Linked DNA regions of Macaca fascicularis. The protein of the gene in region 5 interacts with the protein of the main gene of each other region in a biochemical or structural test. Links are inferred from orthologs where the notes say so. Each region holds a gene or a part of one and is shown on either strand. Other genes may lie near its edges. The genes, in order: UBE3C, TRIP12, RNF144A, RNF216, UBE2L3, UBA7 and HACE1.

What was found.
Region 1: the proteins of UBE2L3 (region 5) and UBE3C form a complex in vitro, tested with the Homo sapiens proteins (6 studies listed by BioGRID, with this or other methods). The link is inferred for Macaca fascicularis from reciprocal best matches to the Homo sapiens genes UBE2L3 and UBE3C.
Region 2: the proteins of UBE2L3 (region 5) and TRIP12 form a complex in vitro, tested with the Homo sapiens proteins (6 studies listed by BioGRID). The link is inferred for Macaca fascicularis from reciprocal best matches to the Homo sapiens genes UBE2L3 and TRIP12.
Region 3: the proteins of UBE2L3 (region 5) and RNF144A form a complex in vitro, tested with the Homo sapiens proteins (3 studies listed by BioGRID). The link is inferred for Macaca fascicularis from reciprocal best matches to the Homo sapiens genes UBE2L3 and RNF144A.
Region 4: the proteins of UBE2L3 (region 5) and RNF216 form a complex in vitro, tested with the Homo sapiens proteins (5 studies listed by BioGRID). The link is inferred for Macaca fascicularis from reciprocal best matches to the Homo sapiens genes UBE2L3 and RNF216.
Region 6: of the proteins of UBE2L3 (region 5) and UBA7, one has a biochemical effect on the other in vitro, tested with the Homo sapiens proteins (2 studies listed by BioGRID). The link is inferred for Macaca fascicularis from reciprocal best matches to the Homo sapiens genes UBE2L3 and UBA7.
Region 7: the proteins of UBE2L3 (region 5) and HACE1 form a complex in vitro, tested with the Homo sapiens proteins (8 studies listed by BioGRID, with this or other methods). The link is inferred for Macaca fascicularis from reciprocal best matches to the Homo sapiens genes UBE2L3 and HACE1.

Annotation. Positions count from the first base shown.
Region 1 is NC_088377.1:198,429,970-198,434,171, reverse strand, and holds the start of UBE3C (ubiquitin-protein ligase E3C), read right to left. Parts: upstream 2,801-4,202; 5' UTR 2,466-2,800; coding exon 2,400-2,465; intron 2,027-2,399; exon of another isoform or gene 1,792-2,026; coding exon of another isoform or gene 1,750-1,791; intron 1-1,749. UniProt on the Homo sapiens protein: E3 ubiquitin-protein ligase that specifically catalyzes 'Lys-29'- and 'Lys-48'-linked polyubiquitin chains.
Region 2 is NC_088386.1:125,855,031-125,859,163, forward strand, and holds the start of TRIP12 (E3 ubiquitin-protein ligase TRIP12), read right to left. Parts: upstream 2,801-4,133; 5' UTR 2,732-2,800; intron 2,549-2,731; exon of another isoform or gene 2,461-2,548; intron 2,189-2,460; coding exon of another isoform or gene 2,093-2,188; exon of another isoform or gene 2,082-2,092; intron 1,578-2,081; exon of another isoform or gene 1,457-1,577; intron 947-1,456; exon of another isoform or gene 848-946; intron 1-847. Other genes in the region: FBXO36 (F-box only protein 36), read left to right, coding at 2,093-2,188. UniProt on the Homo sapiens protein: E3 ubiquitin-protein ligase involved in ubiquitin fusion degradation (UFD) pathway and regulation of DNA repair.
Region 3 is NC_088387.1:115,097,577-115,101,076, forward strand, and holds part of RNF144A (E3 ubiquitin-protein ligase RNF144A), read right to left. Parts: intron 346-3,500; coding exon 138-345; intron 1-137. UniProt on the Homo sapiens protein: E3 ubiquitin-protein ligase which accepts ubiquitin from E2 ubiquitin-conjugating enzymes UBE2L3 and UBE2L6 in the form of a thioester and then directly transfers the ubiquitin to targeted substrates.
Region 4 is NC_088377.1:45,377,961-45,382,202, forward strand, and holds the start of RNF216 (E3 ubiquitin-protein ligase RNF216), read right to left. Parts: upstream 2,801-4,242; 5' UTR 2,677-2,800; intron 1-2,676.
Region 5 is NC_088384.1:31,559,586-31,563,684, forward strand, and holds the start of UBE2L3 (ubiquitin-conjugating enzyme E2 L3), read right to left. Parts: upstream 2,801-4,099; 5' UTR 2,775-2,800; coding exon 2,748-2,774; exon of another isoform or gene 2,222-2,747; intron 1-2,221. UniProt on the Homo sapiens protein: Ubiquitin-conjugating enzyme E2 that specifically acts with HECT-type and RBR family E3 ubiquitin-protein ligases.
Region 6 is NC_088376.1:112,842,881-112,846,974, forward strand, and holds the start of UBA7 (ubiquitin-like modifier-activating enzyme 7), read right to left. Parts: upstream 2,801-4,094; 5' UTR 2,635-2,800; coding exon 2,579-2,634; exon of another isoform or gene 2,567-2,578; intron 2,493-2,566; coding exon 2,324-2,492; intron 2,248-2,323; exon of another isoform or gene 2,226-2,247; coding exon 2,091-2,225; intron 2,011-2,090; coding exon 1,904-2,010; intron 1,581-1,903; coding exon 1,490-1,580; intron 1,386-1,489; coding exon 1,250-1,385; intron 1,050-1,249; coding exon 952-1,049; intron 860-951; coding exon 713-859; intron 329-712; exon of another isoform or gene 300-328; coding exon 117-299; intron 3-116; exon of another isoform or gene 1-2. UniProt on the Homo sapiens protein: E1-activating enzyme that catalyzes the covalent conjugation of the ubiquitin-like protein product of ISG15 to additional interferon stimulated proteins (ISGs) as well as other cellular proteins such as P53 in a process termed protein ISGylation.
Region 7 is NC_088378.1:70,355,138-70,359,350, reverse strand, and holds the start of HACE1 (E3 ubiquitin-protein ligase HACE1), read right to left. Parts: upstream 2,801-4,213; 5' UTR 2,546-2,800; coding exon 2,470-2,545; intron 1-2,469. UniProt on the Homo sapiens protein: E3 ubiquitin-protein ligase involved in Golgi membrane fusion and regulation of small GTPases. Acts as a regulator of Golgi membrane dynamics during the cell cycle: recruited to Golgi membrane by Rab proteins and regulates postmitotic Golgi membrane fusion.

The DNA.
Region 1 (4,202 bases), on a different chromosome or scaffold from region 5:
GACAGAAGCCAAGCCAAACAAGCCAGGCACAAAGGACAAGCGGCAAGTGGCTCCATGACCCTGAAGTTCAACAGGTAACGCTAATCTACAGTAACGGAGGTCAGGAGGACAGTCACCTTTGTGGGGCTGGAATACAGACATACCCGGCATAATGACCTTTCAGTCTGTCAACAACAGACCACATAAACACCGTGGTACCATAAGATTATAATTTGTATTTTTACTGTATCTATGTTTGGATGCACAAATATTCACCACTGCATTAAGAGTTGCCTACAGTATTCAGTACAGAAACACGCTGTCCAGGAGGGTAGCACAGGAGCAACTGGCTGTACCAAGCCGCTAGGTGTGTAGTGGGCAACACCAGCTAGGTGTGTGTTAAGTGCACTCTGATGGTCCCACAACAACCAATTGGCCTAGTGACAGTGTCCCCCTCTTTAAGTCACACATGACTGTAATTAAAGGGTGAGAGTGCAAGGGAGCCTCTGGAATGCTGGGAATGGTCTTCCTTTGATGTGAGTGGTATTCCCTCTAAAGGAGAGTGTCCATATGCAAAAATCCTTCAAGCTGTACATACAGCTGGGTCCTCACCCAGATTCCTTAACCAGGCCAGGGGACCCATGCCCCAGCTGCTGCCAGTTGCTACTAAGGGCTCTTTACTGCCACTCTCTCCCAGAAGAATGGCCCTCGGCTCAGGGTCAGCAGTGCAACACTCCCACCCTCATCCCGGGGCGGGGGGGAACCTACAGCCACCAGCCCCTCTGCAGCAATTATGGCCAACTGCGGCAAGCTCCTGGTGAGATGGGGCTAAAGCTAGCCTCCAGCTGAGACGCCCTTCCTCTTCAATTTCACTTGCACAAGGATCTCCTTAGCGCTTGTGAAGCTGACTGTATCTTACCTTATACTCCAATAAAAAGTGTTTTGTTTTTAAAGGGGTGATTGTTTCACACAGCTCAGGGTATCTTCCTTTGAGATTCTGATCAACAGATAAGAAACCTCACTCCCTCAGAGCAGAGATGCACTCCTTGGTGAAAACGGACCAACATCCATGGCCCGTGGGGTGTTCCTGCCCGCAACAGAGGCCGCGCCGCGCTATGAAAATGGCATGGAGTCTCAGGTGGTCTGCCACTAGCTTCCTGTGTGAATGTGCACTCGTTCAAATGCTCTGCAGCTCACCTTCCCAACTTGTAAGCAAGGAAATTTGGTCCAGAGATTCTCGGAAGTCTCTTCTAACCGGAGAAATCCTTTGATCTCTTAAGAAATTTTCATTAACGTGGAAGCCCCTAGGTGCTACCACGCCCACCCTGTAACCGCACAGTACTTAGTTGTGGAGCACAGCGACTTGCAAGCAATCACCATCACACAAACCTCAGAGCTTAAAAAGAATCAGCACACTTCTCTCCCAACTCTTGACCCAGGTTCCCTTCTACCCTCAGAAACTACCAAACACAGCACCATGGCACAATCTTAACAGCAGTTCCTCCTTGGCCTGCCAGCATCCACTCCGCGTTACGTGCCTACCTGGTGGTTGTGATATACAGAATATACTGACAAACAACAAAAACTAGGTGAAGCAATTTAAAGAACATTTCAGAAATGATGGGAAGGGGTGGGAAGGGAGGGGCGGGAGCAAGACCACACAGCATTCAAAGACTTAGCGGTTCCAGTGAACCAACCAACCGATGCCCGTCTTCAGGGACAGACAGCTGGAAATTCTAGACTAGAACAGAGGCGTCATGGTTTGCCTACCCTTATTCTAAACAATGACCATGCGAACAACTTATGGCCCATCACAACAGATACAAGTCCGGAGTCTCTCCACAGTTTCCGGGAGGCTGGTAGCGAATAATTGCCCTGGTCTTGGATTCAAACACGTGGCTATTCATGAGGCGTTCTGCTTCCACTTCAGAGATTATCGACATCAGCAAATGCGCGCCGTTCACCTTCTACAACCGAAAACGCCCTTCAGGTGGCATTCGAAAAGCAGCCACTCCCTGATGCCATGCGGGAGCGAGCACGGAAAGCCCCATTTCTGAAAGCAAACACCCAGAAAGGGTAAGTTCACCTTGGGTGGCACAAAGCATGCCAGGGTTCCCCGGCCGCCTGCATGGAAGGGAGCCACGGCCAGCGCGCCCGGGTCCCGAAGCGCAGCGGACAGGCAAGGCCCCCACGGGCGCGGCCTCCAGTTCCAGCCAGGGAGGCCCCGAGTCCAGCCCTAAGTCCTAGGCAGAGTCCTGGCCCCAAGTCTCGGCCCCGAATCCAACCCCGAGTCCTTGCTGGGGCTGACCCGAGATCCGGCGAGGAAGCCCCGAGTCCCGGCCAGGGAGGCCCCGAGTCCAGCCCCGAGCCCCGGCCGCGCAGGTCCCGAGCCGAAGGAGCCCCGCCAACCCGGGCCTCACCTTCCTGCTCGCGCCGCCAAGAGACACCTTGGGCCGCGTCTTGAAGTCGCCTTCGAAGCTGAACATCCTGGCAGCCTAGCCCATGTGCGGACGGCGCCGCCGCGGAAGCAGCCGGGCGGGCGGGGCACGGGGCGGGCTGGGAGGCTCTCGGCGCCCGCCCGCCCGGCCCAGGGCAGCGAGGACGCGGCGGCCGGGAGGCGACCCGAGCCCGCCCCCGGGCTGTACCCTCCCAGCCCTGCCCTGGGGCGGGAGGGGCGGCAACACTGGAGGGGCGGCCCTGCCTCGCCTGCCCCTCATCCACGCCGGCCACTGCTCCGGCCGCTGCAGGGGCGCCCAGCGGGCAGCAAACCCGGCGCTTGCACCTGGAACTGCCGCCTCGGGAGGGAAGATGGCGGTCAGCCGTCACTGCGTGCGCGGCCCTGCAGACGTGCGCGCCTCCGCCATCGACGCCACGGCGCTCTTCCCGGCGGCTCCGCCAGCGTGCGCGGCCCCGCAAGGCGCGCTGGAGCCTGGGGAGGAGGGCGGTGACCTGGGCACGCGGCGGAGTGGGCGGGGCCTGGTGCGTGCGGAGGGCGCGGCGGGGGGCGCGGCGGGGGGCGCGGCGGGGGGCGCGGCGGGGGGCGCGGCGGGGGGCGCGGCGGGGGGCGCGGCGGGGGGCGCGGCGGGGGGCGCGGCGGGGGGCGGGAGGTTTTGGGTGCGGGGCGGGATGCAGGGAAGGCGGAGTGCGAGGCGTGGGCCGGGGTGGGGTGCACGGCAGGGTGCGTGGTGCAGGGTGGGGTGCAGGGGCCGGCACCCGGAGCGGCCAATCTGGTGCCAGACTCGAGTGAGTGAGGCGGGAAAGGAGCAGCTAGGCCCAGCCCGTCTGTTTACACCCCACCTGTTCTATGTCTATGACACGCACAGACGGACGTAAATATTTACCATGTACACAGACATGCGCAGATTTGCCTCATACATACACAGCACACATATGCATCAATATACACACACAGCATCAATACATATCAATATGTATCATGTACACATACCTGTGTATGCATAAATATGCTCCTGGACTTACCATGGGGCTTTGTCCTGATAAACCCATCGTAAGATGAAAATATTGTAAGTTGAAAATGTATTTAATACTACAATAAACCCATCACAAAGTCAGAAAATTGTGAGTTGAGCCATTTTAAGTTGGGAACCACCTATACATAAACATGTGTCTTGTTATACGTATACATAAATAATCTCTCATATACATGTGCATATACATATATATCATACACGATTGAAGCCAATTTCTAAAAATTGATTTTTGGTTGTATATAAGGTATGCAACAGATTTCATAGACACATTGTGAAATGACTACCCTCTTTGTGTTTGTTTGTGAGGGTAAAATCTACTCTTGGCAAAATTTCAACACACAGTATGATACCATCTACAGTCCTCCTGCGGCTGAGCATGGTGGCTCACGTCGGTAATCCCAGCACTCTGGGAGGCCAAGGCGGGTGGATCACCTGAGGTCAGAAGTTCGAGACCAGTCTCGCTAACATGGTGAAACCCCATCTCTACCAAAAATACAAAAATTAGGCCAGCGTGGTGGTGCGCACCTGTAGTCCAAGCTACTCTGGAGGCTGAGGCAGGAGAATCGCTTGAACCTGGGAGGCAGAGGTTGCAGTGAGCCGAGATCACGTTATTGCACTCCAGCCTGGGTGACAAAGCAAGACTCCGTCTCAAAACAAAAAAGGAAAAAAAGAAATACAGTCCTGGCACCGCCTGTAATCACAGCACTTTGGGAGGCCGAGGCAGGTGGATCA
Region 2 (4,133 bases), on a different chromosome or scaffold from region 5:
TAGAACGGATTCACTGCGCTATTAACCGTACCCGCCCCCCCGCCCCCCCGCACCGGCCCAACCTTTACACACAGACACATTCCCTCCCCGAGTTAACTAACGAAGCAATTAAACTATGCCCACCACCAGACTCGATGCTTAGGCTAAACCTCCCCCAGACAAAGTAAAACAGCATTATCAAAAAAACAAACAGATCTGTCTTAAGGGTTTGGAAGCTGCCCCTTCCGTTCTCTCCTCACCACGTAAGGTAACCAATTCTCTCCTGTCCCCCACCAGCAGTTCAAACGTGTGATTTCCCCCCATTGACATGTGCTTTTATGTTTTTCCGTATTTTTCCGTCTAAGAAACGAAGGATTTCTTATTCTGAGGAAGGGAAAGACGCTGAGGAAGACAGGATTTGAGGTTTTACTACCTTCGTTATTCGAACTCCCCTCCAACTTGTTCCTGTACTAGAAAACCCACTCACTATGGAGAAGGAAGGAGAGGGGCTGCACTGATGGACAAACGTTGTAATAGGTTTTATGTAATCCACATATAAATAAATTAATCGCCTGACTCGCTCTGAATGCTAATACGATTGGGGTGACAATTGGCCCACCTCCCTCCCCCAAGTCCTAGTTAAACCCACCTACCACCAATTTCCATTCTGATCTATTTAAAAGGATACTCTATTCCTCTCAGTCAAGTTTCTTGGCTTCTTTAGGCCTCCCTGCATGCCCCCCTCGTCATCATCCTCCCTCAGCCTCAACTTCCCACGGCTTAAAAAACTGCCCCGCGCAGACCCCGTCTCCGGGCTCGCCCTCCCTCAACCGTCCCTCGCCGTCCCCCTGGGCAGGAAACCCCTTACTGCGGTCTAAAGTCACTCCGGCCTCTCCCTCCTCTGACCCTCGCTTCCCACAACTGTTGTCACTCGAGCTGCTCCCTAGTTTCCATTTCCGGGCCGTCCACAGACCCGGAGCCTCCCCTTTCCCAATTTCCGGGCCCCTCGTCCCATTTCCGGGGAACCCTTGCCGTCTTCACACCCCCCACCTGCACTTCCGGCCCCCCACTTTCTCTCTTCCCAGACACCCTCCAAGCTCCAAAGCCCACTTCCGGCCCCTCTCGACCCCCGCCGAGCTCCCCAACACCCGCAAGCCTTACCCCGGTTCTCTGAAGGGCCCTTCTCATTGCGGGGAGCCGGAGGAGGGACCCAGAGACCCCTGCCTCCCGCCGGGCCCCGGTCCCTCCGGCCGCGGCGGCCCTCGAGCGTCTCTCCCGTCCACCCCCGGCCCGGTCCTTCCGCGGCTCCGCCGCCGCCGGCGCCGGGAGCAGGCCAAGCGGGGGCCGAATCGCGGCGATGACACAACCGGGCTTCCTGGGACTTTCTGTTCCAGCTCCTCCCCTCGCCCCCCCAAACCCTCAGCTGGCCCCCTCCCCCCAGGCCTGCCCCCGCCGCCCGGAGCTGCGCCCCAATTACCTAGTTAGGCCCCAAAGTCTCCGGTCCGGACTCGGTGGCGCGGCAGTAACTTCCACTAGCTCCCCCCACCCCCCCCAGCGGCGGCGGCAGCGGCGGCTCCGGGTTCCTTCAATTATCAGCTGAGCCGCAGCACCGCGCTCGGCGTGCGCCTCCGCCCGTGCCGCCTCCCTCCCCGCCCGCTCTGACACCCTCGGGGAACTACTTTGCCCTCGGGCTCTGGTTGACGGGCTCGTCCGCGGGACCGGCCCCGCTGCCTACTGGCGGCCCATCACATCGCCCCTCCCTCCCCTACCGCCCGGCTCGACTCTCCCAGCAGCCTCCGATCTCCGCCCGATCCCTTCGAGGGACCAGGAAGGGGACTGTGGAGCTCCACTTGGTATCCCTCCGCCGGGATCACCCCCTCCCCTCCGTGGTAGCAGGAACTAATTCCCCTTCGGGTCACCCGGGACCTGGAGCTGGAAATTTCACGGATCAGGGTTCCCTGAGACCCTTGGAGAAGGGGAGAATCGCCCCAAGTTAGAAATCCTTCTGCCAGCTCATAAGCGTGGTTCAATTTAAACTAGGGTTTTGGCCCCTTGACCCCGACCAAGCCCCGCCCCTTCCTGGTTGTCTTAGCGACGGCGGTGGCGTCCCAAGATGGCGTCGAGGCTGCCGGAGACTCTGTTTGAAACTGTAGGACAAGGCCCGGCGCCCAGCAAAGACTATTACCAGTTACTGGTCACCCGGTCTCAGGCAAGTGCGAGCCCCGGTTTACCCTCTCTCCTAACTCCCTACCTGGCCCGGTTGGGGCCCGGGACCCAGGCTGTGCTAGGCCGAGAGCAGCCGTAGCCCGCCGGAAGCGCCCGGTCCCGGCTCCGCGCCGGGAGATTTTCCTCGTCACCTCGGCCTCCTCGGTCCGGCGGCCCGCGTGTCCCTGCTCTCCCCGAGCCCGGCTAGTCCCTGGCAAGCCTTCTCTGCCTCCCCGCGGTGCCGCGCGCTCCTTTCCCGCCACCCCGGCTTCCTACCCGTAGAGTTCCCTCCGCGCGAAGAGGAAAACGGGCGTCCCAGGCTTGCGTGCGGCCTCACCTCAGCGTGAGAAGGAGGGAAAGAAAGACTCAACCAAGTGTCCCAAGGAGGAGCGGGCTAGGGAGGGGAAAAGGAGATTGCCTCTTTTCCAGGATAGGAATTAATCATGGAGAATTTTATAAATCTCTTTGTGGCCTTTACGCGTGCCATGGCCACATCAAAAGTTAGTTATTTCTAGTAGCAATTGACGATTGGGAGCTCTTCTCTTACCTTTTTGAGTCCCTTCTATCCCATTGAAAGTGTGCGGGTGGTGGTATAAAAATGTTTCAGCAGCTCTGCGCTTCAGCCCCACCCATAATGACATCTGCTCCACAACAATAAGACCGAGGATTATATTATCTCCAAAGTAACCATCGGCCTATTTTTATGCCTACTTTGGTTATTGAAGGTGGGCTTTTGGATGATTTACTGTGTCCATGAAATTCTCAACTTGAGCGGGGCCTCCATTGGGAAGACGTTTTCTAATCCTGGCTGAGCTTATGCCTGTCACTGAGTTATTCATGCACCCTGCGCTTGCAATAGATACTATTCTATTCCTATAAAATGAAATTTAGAAGTTTGTATATATTTGTTTTGGTGTGCATATTGATCATTCCCTCGATTTTCCCAGGAGCCCTTAAACAAAATAGGTAATGAGTTAATTTTTTATATTTTTAAAAGCATCTTTTAAAATATAAATGTTAATATATTTTTTTAAGATTTAGAAATATTACAAATGTAATATTAGACTGTCCAAAAAAATTTTTTTAAAAAACAGTACTGCTCCTTGCGGAGCAGGGCTAATTCGTAGGCAGTGGGCCCAGAGTCAGCCTCAAATTTTTAATTAAACTGTTTTTAGGGGTTTTTGCTCATTTGGTGATTTATGAAATACTGAAAGTCATCCTTTTTTGTACATTTTTTTTTTTTTTTGAGACCGAGTCTCGCTCTGTCGCCAGGCTGGAGTGCAGTGGCGCGATCTCAGCTCACTGCGACCTTGTTTCACCATGCTGGCCAGGATGGTCTCGATCTCTTGACCTCGTGATCCGCCTGCCTCGGCCTCCCACAGTGCTGGGATTACAGGCATGAGCCACCGCTCCCGGCTTCATACCTTTTTTAAACGGATTATTGATTTTTCCATTGGCTTTAAGATTTATTTGTTTATTTATTTATCAAGAGGGAGTCTCCCTCTGTTGCCCTGGCTGGAGTGCAGTGGCGCAAACTCAGCTCACTGCAACCTCTGCCTCCTGGGTTCAAGCGATTCTCCTGCCTCAGCCTCCTGAGTAGCTGGCTTGTGCCAGCACAGAATTACAGGCGTGTGCCACCACACCCAGCTAATTTTTGTGTTTTTAGTAGAGACAGGGTTTTGCCATGTTGGCCAGGCTGGTCTCAAACTCCTGACCTCCAGTGATCCACCGGCCTCAGCCTCCCAAAGTGCTGGGATTACAGGCGCCGACCACCACGCCTGTCCAATTTTTTGTGTGTTTTTAGTAGAGACGGGGTTTTGCCATGTTGGCCAGGCTGGTCTCCAACTACTGACATCAGGTGATCCAGCAGCCTCGGCCTCACAAAGTGCTGGGATTATAGACTTGAGCCACCGCGCCTGGCCAGCTTTAAGATTTATGATCCTGACATT
Region 3 (3,500 bases), on a different chromosome or scaffold from region 5:
AAGAGGTACAGTGTGTGTTAGGGTTGACTGAGCCACAGCCACTTACACTGTAACGGCACTTTTAGGAAGAAACATGCCTGCCTGCTTCTCCTGGCCCACAGCCCACGCCTTTGTGGCAGAGTGTGTACAAAGGGTACCTGGTCTCCCCGGGAAGGAAGGTGATCGGCATGGTCTCCGGGCAGCCCTGGCCAGGGTGCCAGCTGGCTTTGCAGGTGGAACAGAATTCCATATGGCAGGCTTTGCACTGCACTGGCTGGGGGGTCTGCAGCCCCACGTCCTGGAGCTGACACACAGCCTGGCAGGTGGACGCTGGGCACCAAGTCCGACAGGGATCAAACAGCACCTCTGGTATAGGGAGACAAAATGGGCAAATCAAACTTAAGCCAGAGGGTCATGTGGGCTTCAGAGGAAGGAGCCCCTCAGTGCACGGACAGAGAGAAACACATCCAGGTAATACAGCCAGAACCACCAGCCCCAACCGAAGCACTGCCCAAGTCACCCTTCCACCTCCACCTCCCAACCTCTCCCTTCATGCAACAGACCTCCAGACACCCCAGGCATCCCTCAGGAATGCTGCTCCTGTCCCTGGAATGCCCTTGGAGCCCTGGGTCAGCCCTGCTTGCCTCTGGGACTCAGCTCACAGCTCAAAGGCCTCCACATTCTGGAAAGCTTGTCCCACCTGCCTGTCAGGTTTCTCTGAGCAACGCACATCGTGCTAGCTCATCTGCCTCCCGTAGGGGACAGCTTTCTGAAGCCGGGCCCCTGATGGCCCGTGTTGGGCACACACCCAGCACCAGGAAAACGCTGTTAGAAGACGGAAAGGAAGAGGGAAGAAGATGGCTGGATTATTCTTCTAACCAAATAGTTCACCTGCCTAAGATGGCCTCCCCTTCTCAAATCCAAGCCATGAGTTAACTACGGAGTGAAACCAACCCTTCAAGGGCCAGATTTTCTCTCCGAATCACAGCGCACATTTCTAAGAGCCCAATCTTATGGAATTGGCCAAGAAGCTTATTTCTAAAAACAGGACACCTTGACACATCTATTTCTTCACATCCTTGTCCAAAAATTACATTTCTTTAAATTACTGGCTGCCCTTTGTAAGGAGACTGGTTGTTCATTTAATCTTCCCTCTTGTCCGGCATGACGCCGAATTCTCGATGAGGGGCCACCCCGGGGAGAAGGCAGGCTCCGCCAGAAAGCTCTCCGAGGCCAGTGCAATGTGGGCTATTTCCAAAGGCGTTCTGGTGGGCCACTGGTTTCTAAGTTTTCAGCGGGGCTCTTCTTGGGAAGTCGTCGTCTGTCGGGACAACTGAGTTTCAGAGACGACTTGAAAGGCGATGACAAGTCCTTGCCAATGTCCGGGCCCTGTGACTGGCAGCCGGGCAGCTCCCGCTCACCTGCATCACACATGGGATTCCTCTCACTGGAATCCACAACAGGCTGGCACCACACGTGGACCAGGACTTCACCTACACGCATTGCCACGGGACCAGCAGCAAATGAATGACAAATCACCAGCTGGGTGTCCTGACGGTGCACACGCATATGTACGTGTAAGGCTCTGTGTGTTTACATGTTCCCCCAGTACACGGGGAAGCCAGATTCAGCGCTCTAGAAACCATCTTGTGTAGGGTCTAGCTTTAAACTAATCTAGTCATCTAATCCAGGGGCTGGCAAACTTCCTCTGTAGAGGGTCGGATAGTCATCATAGAAGTCGAGGACCAAGTTGTTTCTGGGTTTCTGCAGTAACTACTGGGTTTTTGCTGTTGCAGCACAAAAGCAGACACAGTGACCTGGAAATGAATGTTCTAGCAAAACTTGACAGCAGCAGGCCACTGGCCGGACTGGATCTGGCCCACTGGCCATGGCAGGCTGACCCTTGATCTCATCTGGCTGCCCCCTGCCTTTTTTTTAAAGCGTGAATTAATCAACAGCACAAAAACCGTCCGAATGTTAGGGGTGGTAGAAAATTAAGAAGAACTTGATAATAATGAGGAACACTGGAGGTCAGGAACAGGTGCTCTACTCTAATTATCTTCATTAGAATAATCTAAAATCCCCAGGGTGCTCCTCACATTGAGTGAATGGACACATTTAGCTCTTCTCTTACTTGTGGATAGTTTCTGCATTTGCTTTCCTAAGAATGCTCCTAGCTGTCAGTTCTGACAAGTGGCTTTTTGAGAAAATGTAGTTGTTGTCTGTGGGTCACCTGTGTGGGGGCAGATGCCTGGCGCTCCCCTGAGCTGAGGGTCCACAGCAAAGCAAGGAGGGGCTGCACGTGCCGGCCTGGGGCACCGAGCGCCACACTGAGCAGTGAGGAGGAAACGCCAAAGGCTAAAGGCAGCTGGCCTGGGTCACGCTCCCATCCCGTACCTGCGATGCCTCCAACACCTCGCTGCCTGCCGTCTGTGCATGCTGTGGGGTGAGCCCAGCGTTGTCCCTGATGAGATAGGAGGCCCGTGTCTGCCCAGCCCTGCAGGAGGATGCAAGTGCTCTGTGCACTGAACAATACACTGCGCGCGAAGAGAAATCCTCGCTCACTCTTTGCTCTCCTCCCATATAGCTCTGGGGCTAGACCCAGAAGGGCAGTGCTGCCTGCCAGGGACCCTTCCGTCCCACTGTTGTCCCTACCCCTCCTGTGCGGTGAGGAGCTTCTGACATCAGCAAGGAGCAGATGTCCCAAAGCTGGGTCTCGGTCTCTTCATGCACGTGATGGTCATGCACCGCCTCCTGCCCAGCCTACTGGCTCAAGAGTGGGAGATGCTATTATGCACCCCCATCACGAAAGGCCCCCCAGGACAGCATGCAGGGGAGACCTGGCTAAGGTTTCCATGGGAACGATTTAAATCTTATTAGTTTTGTCCTCACAGAGCTGTGACTTGGCACTGCCTGTCCTCATACGGACAGATTCCTCATCGAAAAGGTCAGGGACAAATGGCTGCTCAGACTGCTGACTGCAAACGTGCTTCCTGTGCTGCCACGGCACGTCACATCCTGTGAACACGGCCCCAGGCTCAGGTGTAGATGTCTATTAACATTCTGCATTATCCTCCCCATTATCCTCCCCAACACGTACTACATACGTGTGTAGTGTATGAGACATATTTTCAAACAGAGCAAATAATATATTTTTGGCACACTAGAGGAAACTAATGTTAATTCTTATCTCCCAGAGGTGTATTTATAGCAGATTAATGAAGCGGGTCTCTAAGAACTCCCTGCTTAAAAACGCCTAAGACTTTTTAAAAAGGTGACTTTCCTTTTAAAACAGTTTCCTTTCAGAAGCACATGACAGATGACAGTGCACCCAGCATCCCCTCTCATCCCTGCAGTTACTACCCTGCCCAGCCGGGCTGCTGCCTGGCGTGGGGCTGGAATGCTGGGTTTGATCCTACTGTGAGATGGTAACATTTTCAGGTGTTGGCTCTAGTCGGGCCTGATTACAGGTGGATAACCCGTTGTATTATTTAATCTCTCTGAGCTTTACTTTGTTTTAA
Region 4 (4,242 bases), on a different chromosome or scaffold from region 5:
TCCTCTCTCCCTTCTCAGCGTGTAAAGAATGTTCTGCAAGAGCACGGTGGCTCAAGCCTGTAATTCTTGCGCTTTGGGAGGCCGAAGGTCACTTAAACCCAGGAGTTGGGCAGCAGAGCCAGACTCCGTCTCTTTAAAAAAAAAAAAAAAAAAAAAAAAAAAAAAAGGCCGGGCGCGGTGGCTCAAGCCAGCACTTTGGGAGGCCGAGACGGGCGGATCACGAGGTCAGGAGATCGAGACCATCGTGGCTAACACGGTGAAACCCCGTCTCTACTAAAAAATACAAAAAACAGGCCGGGCGCGGTGGCTCAAGCCTGTAATCCCAGCACTTTGGGAGGCCGAGACGGGCGGATCAGGAGGTCAGGAGATCGAGACCATCCTGGCTAACATGGTGAAACGCCGTCTCTACTAAAACATACAAAAAACTAGCCGGGTGAGGTGGCAGGCGCCTGTAGTCCCAGCTACGCGGGAGGCTGAGCCAGGAGAATGGCGTGAACCTGGGAGGCGGAGCTTGCAGTGAGCTGAGATCCGGCCACTGCACTCTAGCCTGGGTGACAAAGCAAGACTCCGTCTCAAAAAACAAAACAAAACAAAACAAAACAAAACAAACAAACAAAAAAAACCAAAAAACTAGCCCGACGAGGTGGCGGGCGCCTGTAGTCCTAGCTACTCGGGAGTCTGAGGCAGGAGAATGGCGTGAACCCGGGAGGCGGAGCTTGCAGTGAGCCGAGATCCGGCCATTGCACTCCAGCCTGGGCGACAGAGCGAGACTCCGTCTCAAAAAAAAAAAAAAAACTTAGACGGCCGTAGTGGCGCACGCCTGTAATCCCAGCTACTCGGGACGCTGAGGCAGGAGAATCACTCGAACCTGGGAGGTGGAGGTTGCAGTGGGCAGAGATCACACCACTGCACTTTAGCCTGAACAGAGCCAGACTCCGTCTCCCCCCCCCCCAAAAAAAAAGCTCAATCAATGGGCTGGGGTGGGTGGGGCAGAGAGGAACTGAAGAGACATATTACATTTAAACGCCACCGTTTCCGAGGGACACGGATGTGCTCTGGTCCCCCACCTGCATCCCATTCAGTAAACAAAGGTGATACATATTAGTGTGCCTATTGCCCACCAAAACATACAGCAGCTCAAACCCATTTTTCTAAGACCTCGTGCCTGACTATTGCAGGAAGCTGGAGGATTAAAAACAGCTGGAGAATAGATGAGCTATGTTTGGCTCCTAACCTCTAAAACAATGCCAACCCAGCCCCTTCCAGGAGTAACAGCTTGAAAACAATACACCAAACTTAGTTTTTAGCATTCCTGGCAATTCCATTATTAATTCATGGGTCTTCTTCATAAGGGAAGAAACCCCATTTTTGAGGTGAGGCACAGGCCCACGAGCGCAAAATGGCCTGGCCAAGCTGGAGCCACCTGTGTGTGAGGGCCACGGTGAGGCCCTCTGCCCTGCTCACCCTTACATCACAGTGCTTCCTCTGTAGGTAAACATGTGGGTTTTCAGCCAGGGCGCTTCTTACTGAAGGGCCCAAGGGCCCCGGGAGAACACAGCTGACACGTTTTTTGAAAAGACTATGTAGCACTTTGGGAGGCCGAAGAAGGGATCACCTGAGGTCAGAAGTTCGAGACCAGCCTGGCCAACATGGTGAAACCCTGTCTCTACTACAAATACAAAAATTAGCCAGGTGTGGTGGCACATGCCTGGAATCCCAGCTGAAGCAATCCCTGTGAGGCTGAGGCAGAATTCCTTGACGCAGGGAGGCGGAGGTTGCAGTGAGCAGAGATCGCGTCACTGCACTCCAGCCTGGGCAACAGAGCAAGACTTCGTCTCAAAAAAAAAAAAAAAAAAAAAAAAGAACAGAAAAAAGAACGTTCTTTTTGCACGATCGAAGTACCGGGGACAACTGCTAGCCAGGTCCTCAGGGACGCACAGAGCCCTGGCAGATTTGTCAGAAATTTCTGTAACCCGTACGCCGCGCACGCTCCAGGATTGGTTGCAAGTGGCCCAAAGTCTTGGATCCCTGGTCCCGTTACACCGGGAGCCGGGCCACCTCGACGCGGGGACAGCGGCCTCGCTCCCTGCCCAGCGCCCGGGCACCCGAGCCGGGCCAGCCCCCAGCGCCCCGTAGAAGGGTTTGACGCACTTGCGGCGCCCTCGCGAGTGCCCGGTGACAGTCGCCAACTTTCGCGGAACAACACCCGCTCCAGATGTGAGGGGAGAGGTGGAAAAACGCCGCCCGCCTGGGCTGGGGTTCACAGGGACCGGCCGCCTCCCGCCGCTTCTCCAGGCCGCGCTCGGGTGCACGGACCCCGCCTCCGCGGCGACCTCGGGCCCGGGGGAGGGAAGCGCGGTCTCCCGGGCTATCGCCCTCGCGCAGCTGACCCAAAGGGCCGGCCCGCGAAACTTCGCGAAGAGGCGGGAGGGGGTCGCCCAGTCGCTCAGCGCCTTTGTCGCTCCCGCCTCGCCTCCGCACGGGGCTCGAGACGCCCAGCCCAGTCCTTTGGCCCGATCCCGCCCGGGCCTCGGCCCGCGCCCCTCAGCTCGGCGGCCCTCACGGCCCGCGCCCCCGCCCCCACCCACGGAGCTCCACGGAGGCGTCCCGCAGAGAGGCCGCCTTGCCTCACAGACCCGCCCAGGAGCTCAAGCGCGCCCCGCGACCGACACTCACTCGCCACTCAACTCGCCGGCTAGCCAGGCGGGTTCGGCGGCCTTCGGTACCGCGCCGCTTACTCTTCAGAAGCCACAGCTGCGAGCTCCGTCGCTGCCGCTGAGGCAGCCGCTACACTCCTTCCGGTCCTGCCGCGGCGTCACCTCGCGCCTGCGCACAGCGCCCCCTCCCGACTAAGGACAGGAAGAACCATAGAGGCACTCCGGGTGCTGTGGAGGAGGGACCCGGGGGCTCACCACAGAGAGGGCCGCCTAGCCGCGCCTGCATCCGGGCTCTCCGCCTGCGGAGACTTGACTCCCCCACGAGGCGGAAGGATGAAAGGAAAGGAGACCACCATCCCGGACCCCACAGGAGCCGCCATCTCCCTAGAGCTTAAAAGGGTATGGGGTAGGTGGTTGTGGACGTTTACTCGATATCTACTTATTTGCCCTAATTCTTTTGGCAAGCCATTCATTCATTCTGCAGATATATTCTGTGGATTTCCTGTGGGCCACGCACTGTTCTAGGATTTGGGGAAATTAAGAGTAAAGTGGGTCCCGTGGCTGGGCACAGTGGCTCACGCCTGTAATCCCATCACTTTGGGAGGCTGAGGCGGGCGGATAACTTGAGGTCAGACGTTGGAGACTAGCCTGGCCAACGTGGTGAAACCCCGTCACTACCAAAAATAAAAAAATTAACCGGGTGTGGTGGCGGATGCCTGTAATCCCAGCTACGCAGGAGGCTGAGGCAGGAAAATCGCTTGAACCTGGGAGGCAGCGACTGTAGTGAGCCAAGATGGCGCCACTGCACTCCAGCCTGGGCAACAGAGCTACACTCCATCTCAGAGAAAAAAAAAAAAAAAAAAAAAGTACAATGTGTTCCTGGCCTCAGGAAGTTTAGGTTTTAGTGGGCAAGTGAATAACTGACTAAAAAACTGCTCCTGCTGGGCACAGGGGCTCATGACTATAATCCCAGCGCTTTAGCAGGCCAAGGCGGGAGCATCGCTTGAGGCCAGGAGCTCAAGACCAGCCTTGGCAACATAGCAAGATCCCTACTCTTAAAATAATTGCTGGCCGGGCGCAGTGGCTCACGCCTGTAATCCCAGCACTTTGGGAGGCCGAGGCAGACAGATCACTTGAGGTCAGGAGTTCGAGACCGGTCTGGCCAACATGGTGAAACCCCGTCTCTACTAAAAATACAAAAATTAGCTGGGCATGGTGGTGCATGCCTGTAATCCCAGCTACTAGGGAGGCTGAGGCACAAGAATTGCTTGAACCCAGGAGGGGGAGGTTGCAGTGAGCCAAGATCATGCCACTGCACTCCAGGCTGGGCAACAGAGTGAGACTGTGTCTCAAAAACAAAAATCAAAAAACAAAAAACAATTGCTAAGTACACCTTCAAGTAGAGATGTCAAGTCAGTAATTAGATAAATGAGTCTGGGCTGGGCACAGTGGCTTATAACTGTAATCCCAACACTTTAGGAAGTGGAGGTGGGAAGATGGCTTGAAGCCAGGAGTTTGAGATCATCCTGGGCAATAGAGTGAGACCCCATCTTTACAAAAGTAAAAATTAGCCGGACATGGTGAT
Region 5 (4,099 bases):
GTGTCTTCTCCCTCCCCACCACATTCTACGATTCTACCTTAGGTAACTCCCTTAACCTAGTTAACCTCACAATGTCCTCATTTGTAAAAACATAAAAACGACAATACACTAACTTGGAGTGTTGAAAAGATAACTTATGTAAATAACCTAATATTTAATAAATACTCAGTTAATGTTACAAATTCTTTTCCAAGGTCTATTTTTTTAGAAACAGAGTAATAATTTTAAACCCGTAATAAGTCCCCTCTTAGACCCCTGAGAGCCTGGGGATTCCAAACTGGGTCAACTGGGATAGGCTAGGGGGCTTCCAGGATGAATTAGGTCAAGATCCCTGCCCTTCGGGATCTCAGAACCCAGTACAGGAAAGACAAGTCTGTAACACAAAGAGATTGTGACAAGTGCTCAAAGAGAAACATAAAGTGCTGTGGTCACACAGAGGAGGAAACAACTCATTCTGAAGGGGGATGTGAAGCAGGGGCTCACAGAGCAGTTGGCATTGGAGTTGAACCTGGGACTTCTCTGGAAGGCAGAAGTGAGGAGAAGGCAACTTTTTTGGGGCAGAGCAAACGACACGTGCAAAGAGACACCAGAGGGCAAGTAAGAGCAGGAGACTTTGCTTTGGAGAAAGAACCCAGTTCGATCACAGCTCACTCTCCCTAGCTAGGTAACCCAGGGCAAGCCAAATAATCTTTTCTCATCGACAAAATGGAAATCACAATGTCTACTTCACAGGAAGGATTAAACATGATCATGCATATAAAGCACGAAGTAAAAGCTGGAAAAATAGTAGCTACTGCGATTAGGTGCAAGAATGGTGGGAAACCAAAGGGCAGGAGGTGAGGCTCAACTGATTGCTTTCCGTCAGTCTCAGAAAGGTCTTGCATGCCAAGTAAGAGGTTAGGATTAACTGCTGAGGACAATAAGACCATAGACATTTTTAACAGGAGTGAAAAGAATTGAGTTATCTGCCTTAAAAGAACTCTGGTGTCCGTGAGGGGTAGTCTGGGGAGGAGAGCACTCCGGAGGGCACCCAAGAGATGAGGATACAGATTCAGAGTAATTTCAGTAACATTAGAAAGCAAGTCATGCACTTCAGAAATCTTTTTTTTTGTTTGTTTTTGAGATGGAGTCTCACTCTGTCGCCCTGGCTGGAGTGCAGTGGCGCAAACTTGGCTCACTGCAACCTCCACCTGCCAGGTTCAAACGATTCTCCCACTTCAGCCTCCCGGGTAGCTGAGATTACAGGCGAATGCGACCACGCCCAGCTAATTTTTATATTTTTAGTAGAGACAGGAGTTCACCATGTTGGCCGGGCTGGTCTTGAACTCCTGACCTCAAGTGATCCGCCCGCCTCGGCCTCCCAGAGTGCTGGGATTACAGGCGTGAGCCACCGCGCCCGGCCTGCACTCCAGAAAACTTTCTAAATTTAAATCCACAAGGGTTGAAGGACGACTGCACCTGGGAGTAGGGTAGGAAAGAAAGCCATTAACCGACCCCTTATCTGGTGAATGGTGGTGTCACTAGCTTAAGAGATGAGAAGTCAGAAGTCCTCTGAGTTTTCTTTTGTGCCCACTTCCACTCCAGTTTTATAAAGTTAATGTCCTCTCTAGCCCTTAGGGAACAAAAGAAAGGAAACGTTCCCAGGGAGGCAGGGAGGGCTCAGAGACTGTGGCTCCAAGTTCAATGTCTAGTTCTACCAAACACTGCTCTGCCCAGAACGAACCCCAGCTCTTTATCTCCCCTCAGGAAACCGGCTCCGGGGCCTTTTTTTAATTTCCGGCCCGTTGCAGGCCGGCTGCACTAGCCAGCCGCCGACTCACAGACGCTGGCGGAGGGGACTCCGGAGGACGTTGGCAAATCCACTGGCAAAAGAACTAAGCCAATTTAGCTAATGTGTTCCTCACTAAAAGGTGCCAAGTAGCAAGAAAGCACCCTGCTGCATTCAAGATCCAAAGTACCAAGTTATTATTATAAACTTTGGCCCGTTTTGATTCGAACGACTGAAACCAACCGTTACCCCCCAAAAAATGGCATTTTGCTTTATCAGGGAAGGGAGATCGAGATGACTGAGTGGAGGAGAGGGAAGGAGAACCGCGCCGCGATGGGGGCCGACCTCAGGCCTTCCTGGAGTTGGAACTTGCCCGCTGTGTGACTCTGCAGTCACAAGGCGACAGTTTGCTAGGACCCAGCGCAATTCCAAACGACCCACCAACAAACTGACCTAACTTTGGCCGCCTGGCCTCCTCCCCGCTCTCCTAGCCCGAGCCTTCCAGAGTTCCGAGCTGCGGCTGGGCCAAGCGGAGCTGCAAGCCCGGCTCGCTGAGGCCCAGGGCGGGGCGGTTCCGCTGCACGGGCTCCGGGCAGGGGCTCCGGCGCTCGGGCCTTCCCCGAAGGCGCTCAGTTTGGAGCCTCCCAACCGGGCTCTCACATTAACGACGCCCTCGCGTCGGACCGCGGCCTCCGCGACAGGGGGACGCGGCCACGCTCCGGGCGGAGGGTGGCGTGAACGCCCCGGGCCGGGCTGAGGGGCCAACAGTGGCTCCCAGCGCGGCCTGGCGCTCCCGCCCAGGCTGCGGCCTAGGCCAGCCCCGTTAGCTCCTTGAGCCTGCGCGCGGCCCAGGGAACCGACGAGGCCGTGTAGGGCAGGAGGCCAGACGGCAGCGCCCTGAGAGGCCGCTGCCTGCCTCGGGGGTCCGGAGCCTGGGACGCCGCCCCACGCCCGACCGAGGCCAGAGAATGGCTTTTACCTTCATCAGCCTCCTGCTGGCCGCCATCTTGGATTTGGTGCTGCTCCTTCCCCAGAATGCATCGCGGCCGGCCGGGCGGCTGGAGCCCCCGCACTTCCTGGAGCGGGGGAGGGGCCGCGGGGCGGGGCACAGGAGCGGAGCAGAGCACCTACTGTATGCTTCCCAGCGTGCTCGGAGGCGCGTGGAGGAACACAAGTGAACCGCACAGGCTGAGCCGCAGCGTTTACGGATCGTCCAATCAGATGACAGTTACAACCAGTGCCTGGCACGTAGTAGGCAAATAATAAATATTGATTGCATAAAATAGTTGGCCGGGCGCGGTGGCTCACGCCTGTAATCCCAGCACTTTGGGAGACCGAGGCGGGTAGATCACGAGGTCAGCAGTTCCAGACCAGCCTGGCCAAAGTGGTGAAACCGTGGCTCTACTAAAAATACAAAAAATTAGCCGGGCGTGGTGGCGGGCGTCTGTAATCTCAGCTACTCAGGAGGCTGAGGCAGGAGAATTGCTTGAACCTGGGAGGCAGAGGTTGCAGTGAGCCGAGACCACGCCACTGCACTCCAGCCTGGGCGACAGAGATTCCGTCTTAAAAAAAAAAAAAAAAAGTACTCTGATTGGAATGGGGAATGGAGGTGGGTAAGAGGATAAGAAGGGGAGCAGGGGCCACTTGGAAACCTGTTGCAATCGTTCAGGCAAAGAGGTGACACTGGTTTGGACCTCAGGGAGCAAAGAAGAGAGAAGAACATAGCTTCAGAATATACTCAGACCTTCTTAAGGAGTTCTCTTTTTTTTTTTTTTTTTTTTTTTTTTGAGACACAGTTTCACTCTGTCACCCAGAGTGGAGTGCAATGGCATGATCTCAGCTCACTGCAACCTCTGAATCCCAGGTTCAAGTGATTCTCCTGCCTCAGCCTCTTGAGTAGCATAGATTACAGGCACCTGCCACCATGCCCAGCTAATTTTTGTATTTTCGGTAGAGACAGGGTTTTAGCATTTTTGGCCAGGCTGGTCTCAAACTGCTGACCTCAAGCAATCCACCCACCTTGGCCTCCCAAAGTGCTGGGATTATAGGTGTGAGTCACTGGGCTTGGACATTTTTCTCCATTTCTAAGAACAGTGGGTTTCGGCCGGGCGCGGTGGCTCAAGCCTGTAATCCCAGCACTTTGGGAGGCCGAGGCGGGTGGATCACGAGGTCAGGAGATCGAGACTATCCTGGCTAACACGGTGAAACCCCGTCTCTACTAAAAATACAAAAAACTAGCCGGGCGTGGTGGCGGGTGCCTGTAGTCTCAGCTACTCGGGAGGCTGAGGCGGGAGAATGGCATGAACCCGGGAGGCGGAGCTTGCAGTGAGC
Region 6 (4,094 bases), on a different chromosome or scaffold from region 5:
GGCTACACCCAGGTTGGTGAAGCCTCCAGGGCTGCTATCTGGTGCTGGGTGCCCTCTGACACACACACCGATCTCCACATCTTCCCAGTACCCCCCACACCTATGCCTGTGCCTACCTTCAGCACTTCCTGGGCAGCTACTGCACCCAGCATGGCCACCATAGGGCTCAAGACACCTCCACTGCTTAGGGCAACTGTCCGCACTAGGGCCTCATCCAGTGGCTGTTCCAGTGGCTCTTCCTCTGTCCACTTCAGTGGTTCCAGGTCCTGGGCCAGGCCCACCACGGTCTCTGCATCAACCTGTTGGTAGGACTCTGTGGCACAGTAGCCCCAGCCTGAGCTCCACTCCTGACTCAAATCCTTCCAGCCACCCTCCATCTACCCTGTTCCACAGAAGAGGAAGCAGAAGCCTGGGTGGGAAGGCCTGGCCCTGCTGCCAGCCTGTGCAGCACCACCAGAGGATGTCCAGTACCAGACAGCAGCACAAGAGGCTTCACTAATCTAAGTGCAGCTTCCAACACAGATCTGAGGCATCAGGGTGTAGCAGGGGTCCCCAGGATGTGTGCCTGGCACTTCCATGGAACCAGCCTCTACTCTAAAGGCTGCAGTGTTGGAAGATCAAACTTGGATTTGTGAACGGTCATTGTTACCTCTGGCAGATGGGACCCCAATAAATGACAGAGGCTGGGGGTGGGAGCAACAGGGCCACTCACAGGATCCCAGGGCTGGGGTGGCCGGCCATGGAGATGCTGGAACTTGTGCAGTGCACAGAAGGCCTGATGCAGGCAGTGGGCACGGTGAACTTCCTGGGAGCTCTGGGCCACCACATGGGGCTGGAGCAGGGCTGTGTCCAGGGACTTCTGCAAGGGCACCTGGCTCAGGGTCTAGTCCAGAATGCTACGGGCCCCTCAAGTCAACCAAGCTCCCCTACCTCAGATGCACTTGCACTCACATGTCTCACAGTCTTGGGTCTCTTGACTTCAGTGATAGCCCCACCACGCAAGTACCGAGAGAAAGTTGTTGTGTCTCCGATCTCCAGGGACCCATCCTCTGAGGGAGGTCCAGTCTAGTCAGTATGATCCTTGAGCCTGAGTAGTTCCCACACCCCATCCTATCTTGCATCTGTGTCCCAGACCTTGCTGCACCCTATAGAAGATGGAGGGAGAAAAACCCATTCCAAGGGCCAGGCTGTGCTCACTCCCAGTGGAGGCTTGGGTGCTGCGCCTGGAGTTGGAATGGGATTGGCTTACCCCGCACATGGATAGACCGGGGATCACAGTCGTTGAGCTCAACCATTCCCTCAATTCCTGAGAAAGTCACCAAGTCTCCGTCACGGAAGTAGTGGGTATTGGCCCCTTTCCTCAGAGTGAGAATTCCAGGGGAGCCCTGAGTAGGAGGAGGCTTGGCTCAGGGGTGCCTGGACCTGCCTTCCACAGGCCCTGGCAGCCTTTCCTTGGTCAGCAAGTGAATGTCTACAGCTCAGCACCCACCTGGGAGATGTGCTGGATGGCAGCTGTCAGGGGTTCTGCCTCTGTGGGGTCCTGCACAGTGAAGTCCTCACCAAAGTCACAGAACAACTGCCTGAGATGGGGTGGTAGGGGTCACTGAGGCAGCTTACAGGTTGTACTTAAGGATAGGGGATACTAGGGCAGGGCCAGAGGGCCAGAATTGGGAAAGGAATGCAAGGAGAGGCTTGGGAACTAGAATTTGAGAGGGTTACTGGAGCAGGTCTGGAGGTTAGGTTGGAGGAACCAGAGGGCAGGACTGGGAACCAGAATCAGAAAGGCATGCTGGTATAGACCTGAGGCTGGTTGGAGGGGCACTGGAGCAAGCCTGGAGCTGAGGACAGCATGGGGCCAGTTGCTGGCTATAATACGGTAGGCCGGGCAGGCAGTCTTACTCACCCCACAAGGCCTCGGGTGTCAGCCGCCAGAAAGCAAACTCCATGCTTATGGCACAAGGTACCCACCTTCAGCTGCTCCTCCAGCTTCGCAGCAGTCAGCACCACCACCTGGGTGGACACTGTGATCAGCAGGGCTAAAACCACTGCCCAGCCCTTCCTGCTCTTGAGGGCTGCAGGCCTGAGCTGACCTGGAAGTCCAACAGCAGGTCCTCAGTGATGTCACCCGTGTGCACAACGACCTGGACAGCTCTGTTGAGCTGAGCCAAGAGCTCTTGAGAGGCCTCAGCTCTGCTCCTTTCCAAGTCCCGCTCTGAGAGGAGAAACTAGGGAGAGAGCCAGTGCAGCCTGAGCAAAGACAGGAGTCCTCTTGGGCCATGCCCCCACCTTGGTCTGGCAGCCCACAGCCCCCCAGGACACTTACCTGGGCAGCCAGGTCGGACCAGCAGGTGGGGTGAGGATCATGCAGAGTAAGGCTGCCCACACCCATCAGGACCAAGTTCTTGGCCACCTCAGCCCCCAGGCCCTGCAGGCCTGACACCAGGACCCTGGCTCCCTGAATCCTCTGCATGGCAGGTGAGCCCAGCACATACCTGTGGATGGGAAGCAGGAGGCAAGCAGTTGCAGATCAAGGTCTGAAGACCATCCCCCATTCTCCACCCCTCACCTCGGGCCTCACAGCTGTCTTGAATACAGCTCCTCATCCAGCAGCTTCGAAGCATCTAGGGCATCCATCCTCAAACCTGGGGCCGAACAGTAGGCTGCAGCGCTCAGAGAGAGGGTCTTTGTTTAGAAGGCGGTGACAGTAGGGGCCAGTGCCCTGCTGTAGCTAGTGCAAACAAGAACCAAGGCCAAGGGAATAAGGGACGCTGCTGGTCACAGCTCTCTTCCTGGCTCCTCTGGAGAAAAGAAAAGTGAAAGTGAAACTACGCTCTGAGCAGGCTCCTGATCCTGCCTCCAGACGCCGGCCCCAGACAGGCCAATCAGGGTCTAAAACCTGGGATGAGTTCCAGGACTCCAAGAGGTGATCAGTCTCTGAGTGTCAGACCTGAGGGTGGGAGGCATGGGGCAGCCACATTCATACATGTTCTTATTTTCCTTTTAGACTTTTATTTTGAAATAATTATAGACTTGCAAGAAGTTGCACAAAAAATAGTGCAGAGAGGGCCTGTGTACCCTTCACAGGTGTGTCCTTTTGCCTTCTTTTTTTTTTTTTTTTTTTTTTTTGAGACGGAGCCTCACTCTGTTGCCCAGGCTGGAGTGCAGTGGCAGGATCTCAGCTCACTGCAAGCTCCAATTCCCGGGTTCATGCCATTCTCCTGCCTCAGCCTCCCCAGTAGCTGCGGCCATAGGCGCCCGCCACCTCGCCCGGCTAATTTTCTGTATTTTTTAGTAGAGACAGCGTTTCACCATGTTAGCCAGGATGGTCTCGATCTCCTGACCTAGTGATCCGCCCGTCTCGGCCTCCCAAAGTGCTGGGATTACAGGCTTGAGCCACCGCGCCCGGCCCCTTTTGCCTTCTTAGGAACCTGGGGCCAGTTCTCTGGGAGATGGACCACTGTTTCTCACGAAACTTCATAATAGCCAAACCAAGTGCTGTCTTAAGTTCTTTTTCGTTGTTGTTGTTAATTTAGGTGAAATTCATGTAACATAAAATTAACCATTTTAAAGTGTACAATTCAGTGGCATTTAGTGCATCCACAGTGTTGTTCAACCATCACGTCTATCTAGTTCCATAATTTTTCATCACCCACAACGAACATACCAAACACATTCAATAATTACCATATATGTGGCTGGGCATGGTGGCTCACGCCTGTAATCCTAACACTTTGGGAGGCCAAGGCGGGTGGACCACCTGAGGTCTGGAGTTCGAGACCAGCCTGGCCAACATGGTGAAACCCCATCTCTACTAAAAGTACAAAAATTAGTCAGGCATGGTGGCACGTGCCTACATGTAATCCCAGCTACTCGGGAGGCTGAGGCAGGAGAATTGCTTGAATTTGGGAGATGGAGGTTGCAGTGAGCTGAGATCAAGCCACTGTACTCCAGCCTAGGCAACAGAGTAAGATGCAGTCTCAAAAAAAAAAAAAAAAAAAAAAAAAAAAGAATTGCAAAACGTAACCTCTTATGTCTATTTTCTTTCACTTAGAATGTTTTCAAGGTTCACAGAGTTTATAGCCTGTATCAATATT
Region 7 (4,213 bases), on a different chromosome or scaffold from region 5:
AGAGTTTCTTTTCCATTCAGTCCTTAAAATGTAAGCACAAAAATGTAAGCACAAATGTGGATTTGTATCAGTAGAAATGATATATATATCTCATATATATATTCCTATATGTATGATATACTTGAAAGAGCCAAGCTCAGAGAATTCAAATACTCATCAGAACTTAGAGACAAAGATAAATTAAATTCAAGTAACAAAATGAACAAATTCATTATAATCAAAGAAAAGCAAATGCAAACAAGATGCCATTTTTGCCTATATGTGGGGAAGTTTTACTTTTACTTATCAAACTCTAGTTTCTGGGCACTCTCAGACTGCTGGTGGAACTTTCCAAGAAGTAAGTTGAGAAAATAATACGTTGAGCTTTAGAAATGTATTGTAGACATTCTTCTTGAGAGAATTAACCCTAAGGAAGTATTTAGAGACAGACTATGTCTTAAATATAAAGCTGTTTCTCATAAAATCAGTTTAAAAACAGTATTTAGATTCAACATTTGTTACGTGCGTCTTAGGAAATTCCGAAGTCATTAAGCATATTGAAGAATATTAAAAAAAAAAAAAAAATTGGGGGCCAGTCACGGAGGCTTACGCCTGTAATCCCAGCACTTTGGGAGGCTGAGGCAGGCTGATCACGAGGTCAGGAGATGGAGACCATCCTAGCCAACACGCTGAAACCCCCGCCTCTACTAAAAATACAAAAAATTAGCCGCGCGTGGTGATGGGCGCCTGTAGTCCCAGCTACTCGGAAGGCTGAGGCGGAAGAATAGCGTGAACCCCGAAGGCGGAGCCTGTTGCAGTGAGTCGAGATTGGGCCACTGCACTCCAGCCTGGGCAACAGAGCGAGACTCTGTCTCAAAAAAAAAAAAAAAAAAAAAAAAAAACATTTGGGATGTTTTCTAAACACAAAATAAAAGGCTATATGCAATATGACGTTAACTTGTTAGGGAGAGAAAGAGAAAGAAGTAACAATGGTAACACTGCTTATAACTGGGTGGTGGAATGACATTTCTTTTTCTATTTTTATTTTCCAAATTTTCTACAATGAAACTACGTTACTTTTAAAACCAAGTAACATTATCAGAGTCTTCTAAATCACATTTATGTAAAAAATATCGAGATTCAAACTATACAATATAAATTATACATGTAGTCTTCATCAACCTATACCAATAATTTGACTACGAAAAATAAGCAAGAGTAGCACTGAAGAAATGGATTCAAATGTGGAATTTGGAAAGGAAATAAAGAAAAAATTGAAGCTTGAATCTAGTTATCAAAATCTGAATTCTAAATAGAAACTAGAGACCATTTTCTCAAGAAGATTATCCCCAGGCCAGGCGCGGTGGCTCACATCTGTAATCCCAACACTTTGTGGGGGGGCGGAGCAGGGTGCGGATTGCTCGAGCCCAGGAGTTCAAGACCAGCCTGGGGAACATAGTGAGGCCTCATCTCTATAAAAGAAAGAAACTTATCGCCGAAGTACCCAATCCCACATTTCTTTCATGACCGTTGCCAAGGTCCCCTTCCCTATCCTACAAATCACCCAGCAGCAATTCAAAGAGAGTTTTGAAAAAATAAGATAAACTACTACAATTAAGAAAAAAGCTATTCACCAGCTATAACCTCCTCCCAACCCTTCTCTCACTTGGGCATAAAGAGCCAAAAGCTTCTTAGAAGCAGCACTGCTATCTCCCATCACCATTAAAACGTCTGAATTCCTGACGCTGTAAACAAAACTGTTTATTTTCTCTCGTTATTAGTAGAGTTTTACCTGTTCTGAAGGAACCCTGGAATGCTGAACTAAAAGTCCTGAACTTCAGGCACCATGCCTTATCCCTATTTGCAGATGCGTCCTAGTTCCCAGCTAGCCCACTCAATACTAGTCTGATGAATAAATGAAGTCAGGCATGCATATTAAAGAAAAATGTATTGTGTTTACACACACAGTACTTTTAAGAGTACCTGTTTGATGGTTGACAACCCTTTGTCTTACTGTTATCAAAACAAGGCTGTGCCCCACATTTTTAAAAATAACAAAAATAAAAGCCCGCCTGGCCCCCCGATGCAGCTTAAACACTATCTTTGGATCATCTCTATCTCCGGCGACAGTGAAATGACCCGCAATTATGATGTTTTCTGACTCCGGGTCTCGGGTCTTTGGCTGGTATTCCTGCCTCTTTGCCAAGACCCCTAATCGACAGACGTTGAGAGACCTTTGTCTCGCTCCTCCCGGCAGCGGAACCCCCACCAACCCAGTTTCCTCCCGCAAACTCCCACCTGCCGGGGTGGGAGCGGCGGGCCAAGGGAGTCAAGGGCCCGGGGCCGCCTCTCAGCTCTGGAAAGTAAAAGTGGGCGTTTTCTCAGCTTTCGGTTAGTTTTTCCACCCAACCTTGACGCGTCCGGAGCTCCTGCCCCCTCCCCCGGCCGCCCCCAGCCCCGCGGACAGCCCGGCCCCACGACCCCGCTCACCCTCGGGCAACTCCACGGTGCGCGCGCGGCGCAGAGAGCGCGTAAGGCGGTTGAGTTGCTCCATCGCTCTCTCCATCCTCGGCGCGCCCTCCGCGATCCCCCGCCGCACCGGCGGCCTCCGCGCCCAGCGCCCTACATCTCGCCCGGGCCACTCCAGCAGGCGGAGGCGCGGGCTTGCCCTGGCTACAGCACTGAGCTGCAAGGGCTACCTGGGGCCACGTCCTGCGTCCGGGGGCCCGGCTGCTGCGGGGCCGACCACCTAGGGGACACCAGCCGCCGCCTCCGCTCGCGCCTTTCCTGCTGCCACCGCCGCCGCGTCCCTCCCGGGCTCGCGCGGCCTTCTGGGAACTGTAGTTTCCAGCTCGCGGAACCGAGCGCCCTGGGCGGAGTCACGCTGGGGGCGCCCCGGCCACGCCCACGCGGGCGCGCGGCTGAGTGTGCTGGAAGCCACGCAGCGACTGGGCGTATTCCTAAGTCCCTGGAAAGGCATTGTCACGCCCTGCTCCTCCTACCCTCCAAAGTTGTACAGGAGTAGCTTCCTCCAATTCTGTAACTTTACTGTAAAACAGATTGTAAATTGGCATAATTGTTCTTAAATCCGTCACCACCTCTCTAGTACTGTATTAGTGCCTTTGTTCCAGGTACATGAACTGTTTAAGTATGGTATTTTCGTATGTCAAATTTAAAGAGTAATAAAATCAAACAAATCCAAAAGCACAATATGCTTTTGTCGTCATTGTAAATAACTTGACAATAGCTTAATTAGTTGTTTTTCCTGCCTGGCGACTTTACGAGGGCAGGGACATTTAATTTGGAACTGTGTTGATCCCTGTACTTAACAAGGCACCTGGCACAAAGTTAAAGCTCTGGGGAAGATGTGGATGATGACAACCTGAAAAAATTTTTTCATTTATTTGGTACAATGCTAAAATGTCAATGTGATGACAGAGCCTAGTGGGAAATCCAAAGGATGTGACTTTGTAAGTTACAAAAAACTTGGATACCTACATTGTGTAAGAAATGAACTCAGTGGCGAAAAATCATATTCATAAGCTGTGCACAGAAGTTGAACACTTGATAATTGAAACAACAGAAGTTGGAACTTGAAAAAATATTAACCCAATCAAAGCGGTAAATATGAGCCTGGCTAACGCCACTGACTATGAATATCTTGGATATATTACCAGTGCCAAGATGATGCTGGAGTGAGGGAGAAGCAAAAGGCTTGTCTTTTTCAGCTCCTCTTTCCTCAAAGAGGCAAAGCTGTTCCTGTAATGAATGGGCACATGTACGTCGATGATGTATGTTGGCTGGCCAAGAGAAAGAGAGTCTCACCTGCCCCTTCAGGATATGAAGGGGCAGGTGGTGGTTGGCTTGTGTTTTCCTTGCCAGTGCCGTCCTAAATCAGTTCCAGCTAGTGACCATTTGTGCCAGTGGTGCCACAGGCTCGGGAAAGACCTCTGTAGTCTTCACCTAATCAGATGACACCTAAATCAGTCTGGCAACAAGGTGGTAGAGGTCAAAGTTTCAAAAGAATACCAGAGGCTGGACACGGTGGCTGATGCCTATAATCCCAGCACTTTGTGAGGCCAAGGCAGGCGGAACACTTGAGGTCAGGAATTTGAGACCAGCCTGGTCTTCATGGTGAAACCTCGTCTCTACTAAAATATATATATATATATAAAATTTAGCCAGGTGTGGTGGAGCACCTCTGTAATCCCAGCTACTCGGGAGGCTTAGGCAG